Oryctolagus cuniculus: one gene and its partner. The protein of the gene in region 2 interacts with the protein of the main gene of each other region in a pairwise test. Links are inferred from orthologs where the notes say so. Each region holds a gene or a part of one and is shown on either strand. Other genes may lie near its edges.

Region 1 (4,424 bases), on a different chromosome or scaffold from region 2:
TTTTCAGGTATTTTTCATCAGTTCAGTTCAGTGGACTAGTTTTCATGGTCTAATGACAGCCGCAGCTCACTAGGCTAATCCTCCGCCTGCGGCGCCGGCACCCCAGGTTCTAGTCCCGGTCGGGGCACCAGATTTTGTCCCGGTTGCCCCTCTTCCAGTCCAGCTCTCTGCTGTGGCCTGGGAGTGCAGTGGAGGATGGCCCAAGTGCTTGGGCCCTGCACCCCATGGGAGACCAGGAGAAGCACCTGGCTCCTGGCTTCGGATGGGCATAGCTCTAGCCATTGCAGCCATTTTGGGGGTGAACCAATGGAAGGAAAACCTTTCTCGCTGTCTCTAACTCTTCCTGTCAAAAGAAAAATAAATAAATAAATAAAATAAAAACCAGCTGTCCTCAAAACTCACTAAGCCACTACCCTGCATTCTGAAAGGCAAACGGCACCTTTCCCAAGCCTTCGAGGGCGGGCGCTCCCAGAACCCGGAAAGGATTCACTGGCCAGGCCGCACCCGACAGCACCCCAGGCCCTGGCAGAACAATGTACATCCCGGCTACCACAACCCATAAAGTAAGATACACGGTTTTTTCTTACAGAAACAGTATTTGGACTTTTATAATACACGTGTACCATCCCGGGTCCCAGCAATCTACTCAAATGCAGTCACTTGAAGAGAATTCAATGAAGTGATGACTTAAAAGGTGCTGGGGGGTGGGGCACAGGACCACGCACCCTGGAGAGGGAGGGAGGGACGTCACCCGTGAGCTGTGCCCTGTGTGTGTGGGGGCAGCGCCTGCTGGCGGTCACCCCCAGGACAGGTCTGGGCACCACTCTCTTCTGTCCCCGTTTCCCTGCCAGGGCTCCTACTGGCCAACCCATCCAGGAGCCAGGGGGCAAAGGGAGCGTAGAGGCGATGCGGCTCGGCCTTCCGGGCAGCAAGCAGTGCAGGGGCCGCCGGGAAGGCAGGAGGGGCCCAGGAGGGGCGGGACCCGGGAGGGGCGGGGCCCTGGAGGGGCGGGGCCCAGGAGGGGCTGGGCGAAGGGAACCACAGGCCCACAACCGCCTTGGCAGGCAGGCACCAACTGGACCAAGACAAGCACGCGGAGAAGAGTGGAGTCCACCACCTCACGTCCAACCTGCTTCTTTCTCAAGTGCCGAGGGACCACTTACACTTGAAGTTATAATAAAACCAGCACAGGGCAAGTTAAGAGGCGGAGTCCTTTGTGGAGTAAGAATAACCCTGTTTACCTCCAAGACCATGGAGCCGAATTCTTTGTCTTTGTACAGCTGTTTAGCACAGGCGAGGATGGTGGACGTCTTTCCTGTCCCCGGAGGGCCGTAGAGAAGCAGGTGTGGCAGTCGGTCTTCACTAATGAATTTCTGAACTGAGGAAGACAGGGCGCCACCGTCAGTCCCTGGGACTGGCCCAGCCCCGGGAGCCGCGGGCTCCGCACCCAGGCTGTGGGCAAGTCAGAGGCAAAGGCAGCAAGGAGAGGGGAGGGCTCGACGCCTACAGCCGCAGCCCACGAGCCTGATCAGGCTGTGAACTTCTACTCAGCAGACACGAGTAACTAACCCCAGGTACTCACTGGTACTCAGGATGTCCCGGTGAGAAATGAGATCGTTCAGCGTCTGTGGCCGGTACTTTTCGACCCTGCAATACAATTCAGAATATATACGACATGCGTAAACTCGAGAACATTTCCTATGTGCAGAAGAACCCTTTCGTATCCCAACTCAAAGAGGAAGAGAAAGGAAGCCTTGTAGGTTCCCGTATAGACCTGTGGTTCTCCACCAGGGCGATCCGGGGCTACCTGGTGACATTTCTAGTGGTGACAACTGGGTGTCACTACATCGTACAAGGCACACGACAGCTCCCCTGTCCGCGTCCCCCACTCAGTGCAGTAACTAGCCCATCATGTTAACAGCCCCAGATGGGAGATGGCGCTCTCATCTCACCTGTCCAGCTGTCTGCCTCCGATGTCAACCTGAGTGGGCACCGACAGAGACTTCCACAGGGAACTCCTACCCAACACCCACCGCCGGACGCAGGTACAGAGGAAGTGCCCTCTATGCATACAATGGAATTCTGACACTCGCCACACATCGTGTGATGCCACTGACACGGAGAGCCCAGAACAGGCAAAAACGGGGAGTGGCTCCTCTCGGGGTGACGGGAAATGCGGCAAGTACAAATGTGCCACCGCGCAAATGCTGCCTGATGCGCCCCTGCCCCCACCCTAGTCGTGGACACGGGACGGGGAAGCGCCAGGATCTGAACTCGGACCACCGGCAGCAACCCAAGGTCCCAAGCCTGGCGTCCCGCCTGCGTCCCAGGCGAATCGGGTGCCCTCTCCACCGCGCGCCAGCCTCCACCGCCGCCCAGCAGGGCGCCTGATCCGCTCCGCGGCGTCCGAGGGCAGCCCGCCCCGGGCTCCTCCGCTACTCCGGTCTAGAGCTTGACCAGCAGCTCCACGGCAGACTATGGCCAGAGGAACGCGGGATCGAGCCCCGGCGCTGTCACCCGGCTGGCACCCGGCCGCGGGCCCAGGAGGGCCGCCACCTGCGCCCCCGCGCGCGGCCGACCCCTGCCCGCCGCGCCCGCCGCGCCCGCTCCTACCACGGCAGGTTCCGCATCTTGGCCGCCGCGGGCTGCTCCTGCTGCTGGACGGCTGAGCTCTCCATGGCTGGGGGACCAAGGTGACCGGGTCCGCAGTGGCTGTGGCGTCCCTCAGGGAACCCCTGCCCAGAAAGCAGTCACCGTCCCACCCCTGGACCCCTGTAGTTAGAGTTCGCGCGCAAACGCAACTCTCGCGAGACTTGGGGCTGCTAGCTTCCGACTTCCTTCCTAGGTCCCGCCCCCTCCCCGTTGCTACGGCGCCGGTTGCTAGGTTACCGGAGGCGCGGACCCGCAGCCTCCCTCGGCTCCTCCCCTCCAGCCTGCTCTGCGCGCTCTCAGCTACCCAGGGGATTCCAGAGAGGGGGGCCAGGGGCCCCGCCAATCATCCTTACAAATTAAGGTCTCAAGGCCAAAGCCAATTCCAGCCATTACCAAGATTCAATCAATTTCAAAGGATCAGATAGCAACCAGAGCTAAAAAAGAAATCCTAAGGCAAAAACAACCCAAGTGACAGGGGCAGCTCATGCATATAAATATCAATAACGGCGACATAAAAATGCTCACAATCCCTTTCGGCCCCAAAGCAGGGAGGTGACTACTTGGACTTGGACACAGCTCCAAACAGCCCCGCTCCCTCCTCACTCGCGGAGTTTAGAGGGCTGACCTCCAGGAGAGAGACTCCAGAGAGAAAACAAAAGAAAAACAAACCTTCCAGCTGGGTGGTTCCGTGCAACTGGAAAAGCATAATTAATAAACACACAAGAGGGAGCCCGGTGCTCTGAGAATTGCTATCAGAATTTTAGTGTTTGGGGGCCGGCATTTGGCACAGAGGCTAAAGGGGCTGCCCGGGTCTGAGTCCTGGCTCTGTTTCTGGTCCAGCTTCCTGCTACTGCACAGGGAAGGCAGGGAGGGCTCAGGGACCTCCGTCCCTACCGCCCGACTTGGGAGACCCGGGTTGAGTTCCTGGCTCCTGGCTTCAACCTGGCCCCAGCCCCAGCTGTTACGGGCATTTGGGGAGTGAAGCAGTGGCTGAAAGATTTCTCTGTGTCTCTGCCTTTCAAATAAAATGAAAACAAAAGCATTAAAAATTTTATTTTAGTGTTTTTTTTTATTCCTGGGGAGAGAGGATTCTGGACCACTTTTGTCTTTTTCAGCAATGAGTGTGTGTAACATCTCTAATAAAATACTTTAGGAAAAGAAAAGGAAAACATGGCAAGAAAGACAACAACACTGGGGTGAGACGACGTTGCCCAGGGTTCCGCATGACACAATCCACAAAAGCTGCAGGTGAGACCACGCTGTGACCTTGCCTTGGAGACACACCCTACTTCTGTGAGTTGGGAGATTCAGACGAGACTGGCCTAAGTCCTCATAAAACTCCCTGTGCACCTGCTGTTCTGTTTGCTTGCAATGCAGAATTCTGTTGGGGGACATGGTATCATGTATTCATGAGGTTATTGTCTACAGGGTGCTTCCCCAATGGATTATAATAAGCTTGTTGGGAGAGAGAGGCTTTGAGTTATCAAAGCGCTGGACTCACAGGGTATGGCTAAAAGGAAGCACTCACTAGTTCTTTGGTGAATGAATGAATGACAATAGCTAATATCTGCTATGCAGTTACTACAGGCCACTTTTCCAAGTGCTTCAGTTGTTGCAAGAAGCCCGAGTTCCTATGGTTGATTCTACTTTGTAGGTAAGTGATGTGTTCCAGCCCTCATTTGCTGTAAGGGTCAAAAATAGATCTCACCGGGACTGGTACCTGTGATGCCGGCATCCCATGTGGGTGTCAGTTCAAGACCCGGCTGCTCTAG
Region 2 (3,802 bases):
TTTTGCTGGTAATCCGCCTTCCATCTGAAGCATATAATTTCAAGCCATTTGGAACTTGCCCCCATCACTGCCTGCCTCTTTCCCCAGGGAGACTCAGGGGGTCCGGCAGCCTGCAGGAAGGACAGCTCTGAGGATCACTGACCAGGCACACTGTGGGAGGAGCCGCTGCTATTTTGTTTTTTTTTCCTGCTCTTTTATGTGGTGGGCAGACACTCCCGGCCTCCTTTCATGCCCCTGCTCTCAGGAGTTACAATGGTGTCAACCAAGCTGGAAGACTCCCTAACTCTGGGGACACCCTGCTCAAGGACCCCGGAGCAGTCACAGCCCTGGGCTCACTGCAGAGGGACTGGCAGGGAGGACAGTGCGACCCTCACTGTTGACCTGATCTTCGTGACAGCCTGAAAGTCTCCAGAGCCGGCAGTTCAGGGCAGATGTAGCAGTGTCCACTAAAAGCCATCACAGTTCTAGGTACTGGGGGAACAGCAGGGAATAGGAGAGACCAAATTTCTGCCCTCACGGGACTTGAAGTCTCCTCTCTGTGCTGGTGAAGCCAACAAGGAGACTCTGCGCCTGTCCTACTCACCCGGGGGAGGCAGGAACAAAGGAGAACAGTGATACACCTGGAAATAGGGTCGCAGAGTATCAGAGAAGGAGGCCTTTGGGAAGGTGAAGAGGTGAGCACCTGTACTCATATTGTAAAAAGATACAACTCCGGCCTCAAAGTCCAGAAAAACTCCCACCACCAGGGGCTGCTGACTGAGATAGAGAGGAGTCTGGGGGAAGGTGAGCGCAACATAGCCTCTCTTCCTGCACAGCCTGATGGCCCAGAAGCCAGACTGCGGCTTCTGCTTTACCCCGAACCCCCTCTGCACACTTTCCACACAAACTCCCAAATCCCACCCCGTCCCTTCTCCAACATCCACTTCAAAGAAATGCTTTCCTGAATCGAAGCTCTCACAGCCCAGGACACAGGGTAAGGCACTGAATCTCCTGGGAGACGCGGCGAGATTCTCCTGGGGCCACCCCCGGGTCACCTGCCTCCGGTCTTCAGACAGGGTCAGTTCAGGATGGGCTGTAACTGGATCCAGAGTCACGTCGACTGCAGAAAGACAACCACAACAAAAGAAACCCCAAACGTCGCTTTGGGTTTCTCTGTGGCTCTTCTAACTTAAAGGGGATGCTCAGCTACTCGTTTTTTACCAGGTAACCAGCATGCAGCACCCACGTGAAGCATCGAGCACACTGACGAGGGACAGCATCACAGCTGCACCTGGCCTACGGCAGTGCGCCTGCTCGGGACAGGGGCTGAGCGCGTTTACTGTTTGGGTCCCTTCCACCCCCAGCACGTAAGGACGTTTGAGTGCACGCACCTCGATAGCTCCTTAACATCTTCTTCACATCAAAGTAAAGCTCAGAAACGTTGCACGTCGTAAGAACCTCCAAGGAGAAGACCTCTGGCGCTTCCAGCTTCACAGCCCAGCTCCTAGAGGAAGCAGGGCCAGAGATACCTGGAGGGGTGCGTTCCCTGTAGCCGCACACGTCCTCCCCGCACCCCTCCCGCAACCCTAGAGGACTTACCTGTCCAGCGTGCCCTTCACATCCTGTAAAGACACAAAAGCAAACGGTGAGTGTGTCACCATCTCCAGGTGTCAGGGTTTGGCACGCGGTGCTGTCCTCCATTCATGCTCACTCCAAAGAAGCACGGTGACCCCAGCCTTAGATGTGGACAGATGCTCCAGGGAATGGTTCCTGCCCTGGCCTCCAGGACATGCAGTGTGACAGGATGCTTATCACCCTCAGCATCTCCTGCTGTCCCGGATGAAACCCGTGGGAAGCAGCTGTGTCGACAACAGCATCAGCATGCGGGCCACTTGGGGAAAGGGCCACACGCTTTGCCCTGGCTCCCCCTGGCAAGATGTGCACCAAGGTGGCGGCTGCAGGTGTCCCGTGGTGGTGGAGCAGCCATGCTACGCTCTCAACCTTACAGTGGAACAACCATCCCGTTAGTGGGGACAGAACTAACAGCTCCAGCTATTTACCTTAACCGGGAGGATCCTTGGAGGTGTCAGAAGGCCCCAGCACAGCTCTGGAGCAAGAGCTCCACCAGAGAGTAAGGAAAGGTTATCACTCACTGGCCCCTGGAGGAGTCTTTGGGAGAGAATCTGAGAATCAGGGTTCTGTGCACACAGGACCAGGGGCAAACGGTGGTAAAATTATCCCAAGGTCCACCTGGCCACTCCGTGCACTCAGAGGAAGGAGGCTTTTCTAATTAACTTAAAGAGGTCCTGTGAATGAATGAGCCCGTCCTGCTGAGACAGATACACACCCCCGCATTAGTGTGCCACTGCTGAGCGAAGGCAGGCACCCACGCCAGCCCCCCACCTGCACCTCCCCCAGCCTCACCTGCAGCACTTGCTGGGCCTGGCTTTGACACTTTTCCTCCAGCCCCTGGATTTGGCTCCTGAGTTCCTGGCTCTGCTTCTCCAGACTGGCCTGACCATCCTGCAGCCTCTTCAAAACCTGCTTCTCCTCTTTCTCCAGCCTCCAGAGGTAAGAATTCTCCTCTTTTTGTAGAAAGCTCTGGAGAGTCTCAAAATCACAGCGGATTTTTTGTCTCTGAGTCTCTATCTTCTCCTGGAGTTAAGAAAGTATGGTCAGGAGCCAACACTGTGTCTCAGCAGGTTAAGCCGTTGCTTGTGACACCCGCATCCCACGTATATCAAGGTGCTAGACCCAGTCCCAATGTCCTTGTGTCCAATCCAGCTGCCCATTAATGCACCCAGTAGATGATGGCCCAAGTACTTAGGCCCCTGCCACCTACGTGGGAGACCTAGATGGAGTTCCTGGCTCCTGGCATCAATCTGGCCCAGCCCCAGCTGTTGTAGGCATTTGGGAAATGAACCAGTAAGTGGATAGACTTCTCTTTCTCTCTGTCTCTCCTTCTCTATCACTCTGCCCTTCAAGGGAAGGAAGGAAGGGAGGAAAGGAAGGAGGGAGGGAGAGAGGGAGGGAGGGAAGGATGGAGGGTATAGTCAAAAGTGGAAAAGACCACATATCCAACCTTGAATGATAGGACAAACAAAATGTAGTTTATAGATACAATGGAATATTATTCAGCCTTAACGAATGAAAATGTGAAACATGATACAACATGGATGAGCCTTGAAAATATTCTTGCTATGTGAAACGAGCTAGAAAAAAAAAAAAGGGATAAATATTCTAAGATTTCATTTACAAAAGGGAACTTCAAAAAGTTCATGGAAAATAGAATTAAAAGAAAAGTTTGTTTTGTTGCAAAATATTTTTAAAATCCATGCATAGTTTTTTCTATAATTCATATTTTCCATGAACTTTTTGAAGACCACTCGGGAGGTACCTAGAATAGTTCAATTCACAGAGAGAAGATATACTTATCAAATCGTGGTTACCACATCCTGGGAGAAAGGGAGACTGGGAGTTAGTAATCACTGGATACAACGGTGCCGTCTAGAAAATGGAAAAAGTGGAAATGGATGGCGGTGGTGCTGCTTCACCACGTAAAATACTTAACACCACCTAAGTGTAACACTCAGGAATATCAAAATGGTAAGTTTTATGGTATGTTTATTTTACCACAAAAAGAAAAAGAGGGGCAGGTGTTGCGGTGCAATGGGTTAGGCTACCGCCTAAGATGCTGGCATCCCAGAGCACAGGTTCAAGTCCTTGCAGCTCCACTTCTGATCCAATCCCCTGCCAATTCACGGGGCAGGCAGCAGAAGATGGCTCAAATGCTTAGGCCTCTGCTTCTCACATGGGAGACCCA

The links.
Region 1: the proteins of TRIM38 (region 2) and RFC5 interact in binary tests that used the Homo sapiens proteins (3 or more experiments, as listed by UniProt). The link is inferred for Oryctolagus cuniculus from reciprocal best matches to the Homo sapiens genes TRIM38 and RFC5.

The regions. Positions count from the first base shown.
Region 1 is NC_091452.1:14,198,096-14,202,519, reverse strand, and holds the start of RFC5 (replication factor C subunit 5), read right to left. Parts: upstream 2,844-4,424; 5' UTR 2,679-2,843; coding exon 2,614-2,678; intron 1,648-2,613; coding exon 1,583-1,647; intron 1,379-1,582; coding exon 1,242-1,378; intron 1-1,241. UniProt on the Homo sapiens protein: Subunit of the replication factor C (RFC) complex which acts during elongation of primed DNA templates by DNA polymerases delta and epsilon, and is necessary for ATP-dependent loading of proliferating cell nuclear antigen (PCNA) onto primed DNA.
Region 2 is NC_091436.1:153,298,290-153,302,091, reverse strand, and holds part of TRIM38 (E3 ubiquitin-protein ligase TRIM38), read right to left. Parts: intron 2,635-3,802; coding exon 2,404-2,634; intron 1,602-2,403; coding exon 1,579-1,601; intron 1,484-1,578; coding exon 1,371-1,483; intron 1,100-1,370; coding exon 576-1,099; 3' UTR 1-575. UniProt on the Homo sapiens protein: E3 ubiquitin-protein and E3 SUMO-protein ligase that acts as a regulator of innate immunity. Acts as a negative regulator of type I interferon IFN-beta production by catalyzing 'Lys-48'-linked polyubiquitination of AZI2/NAP1, leading to its degradation.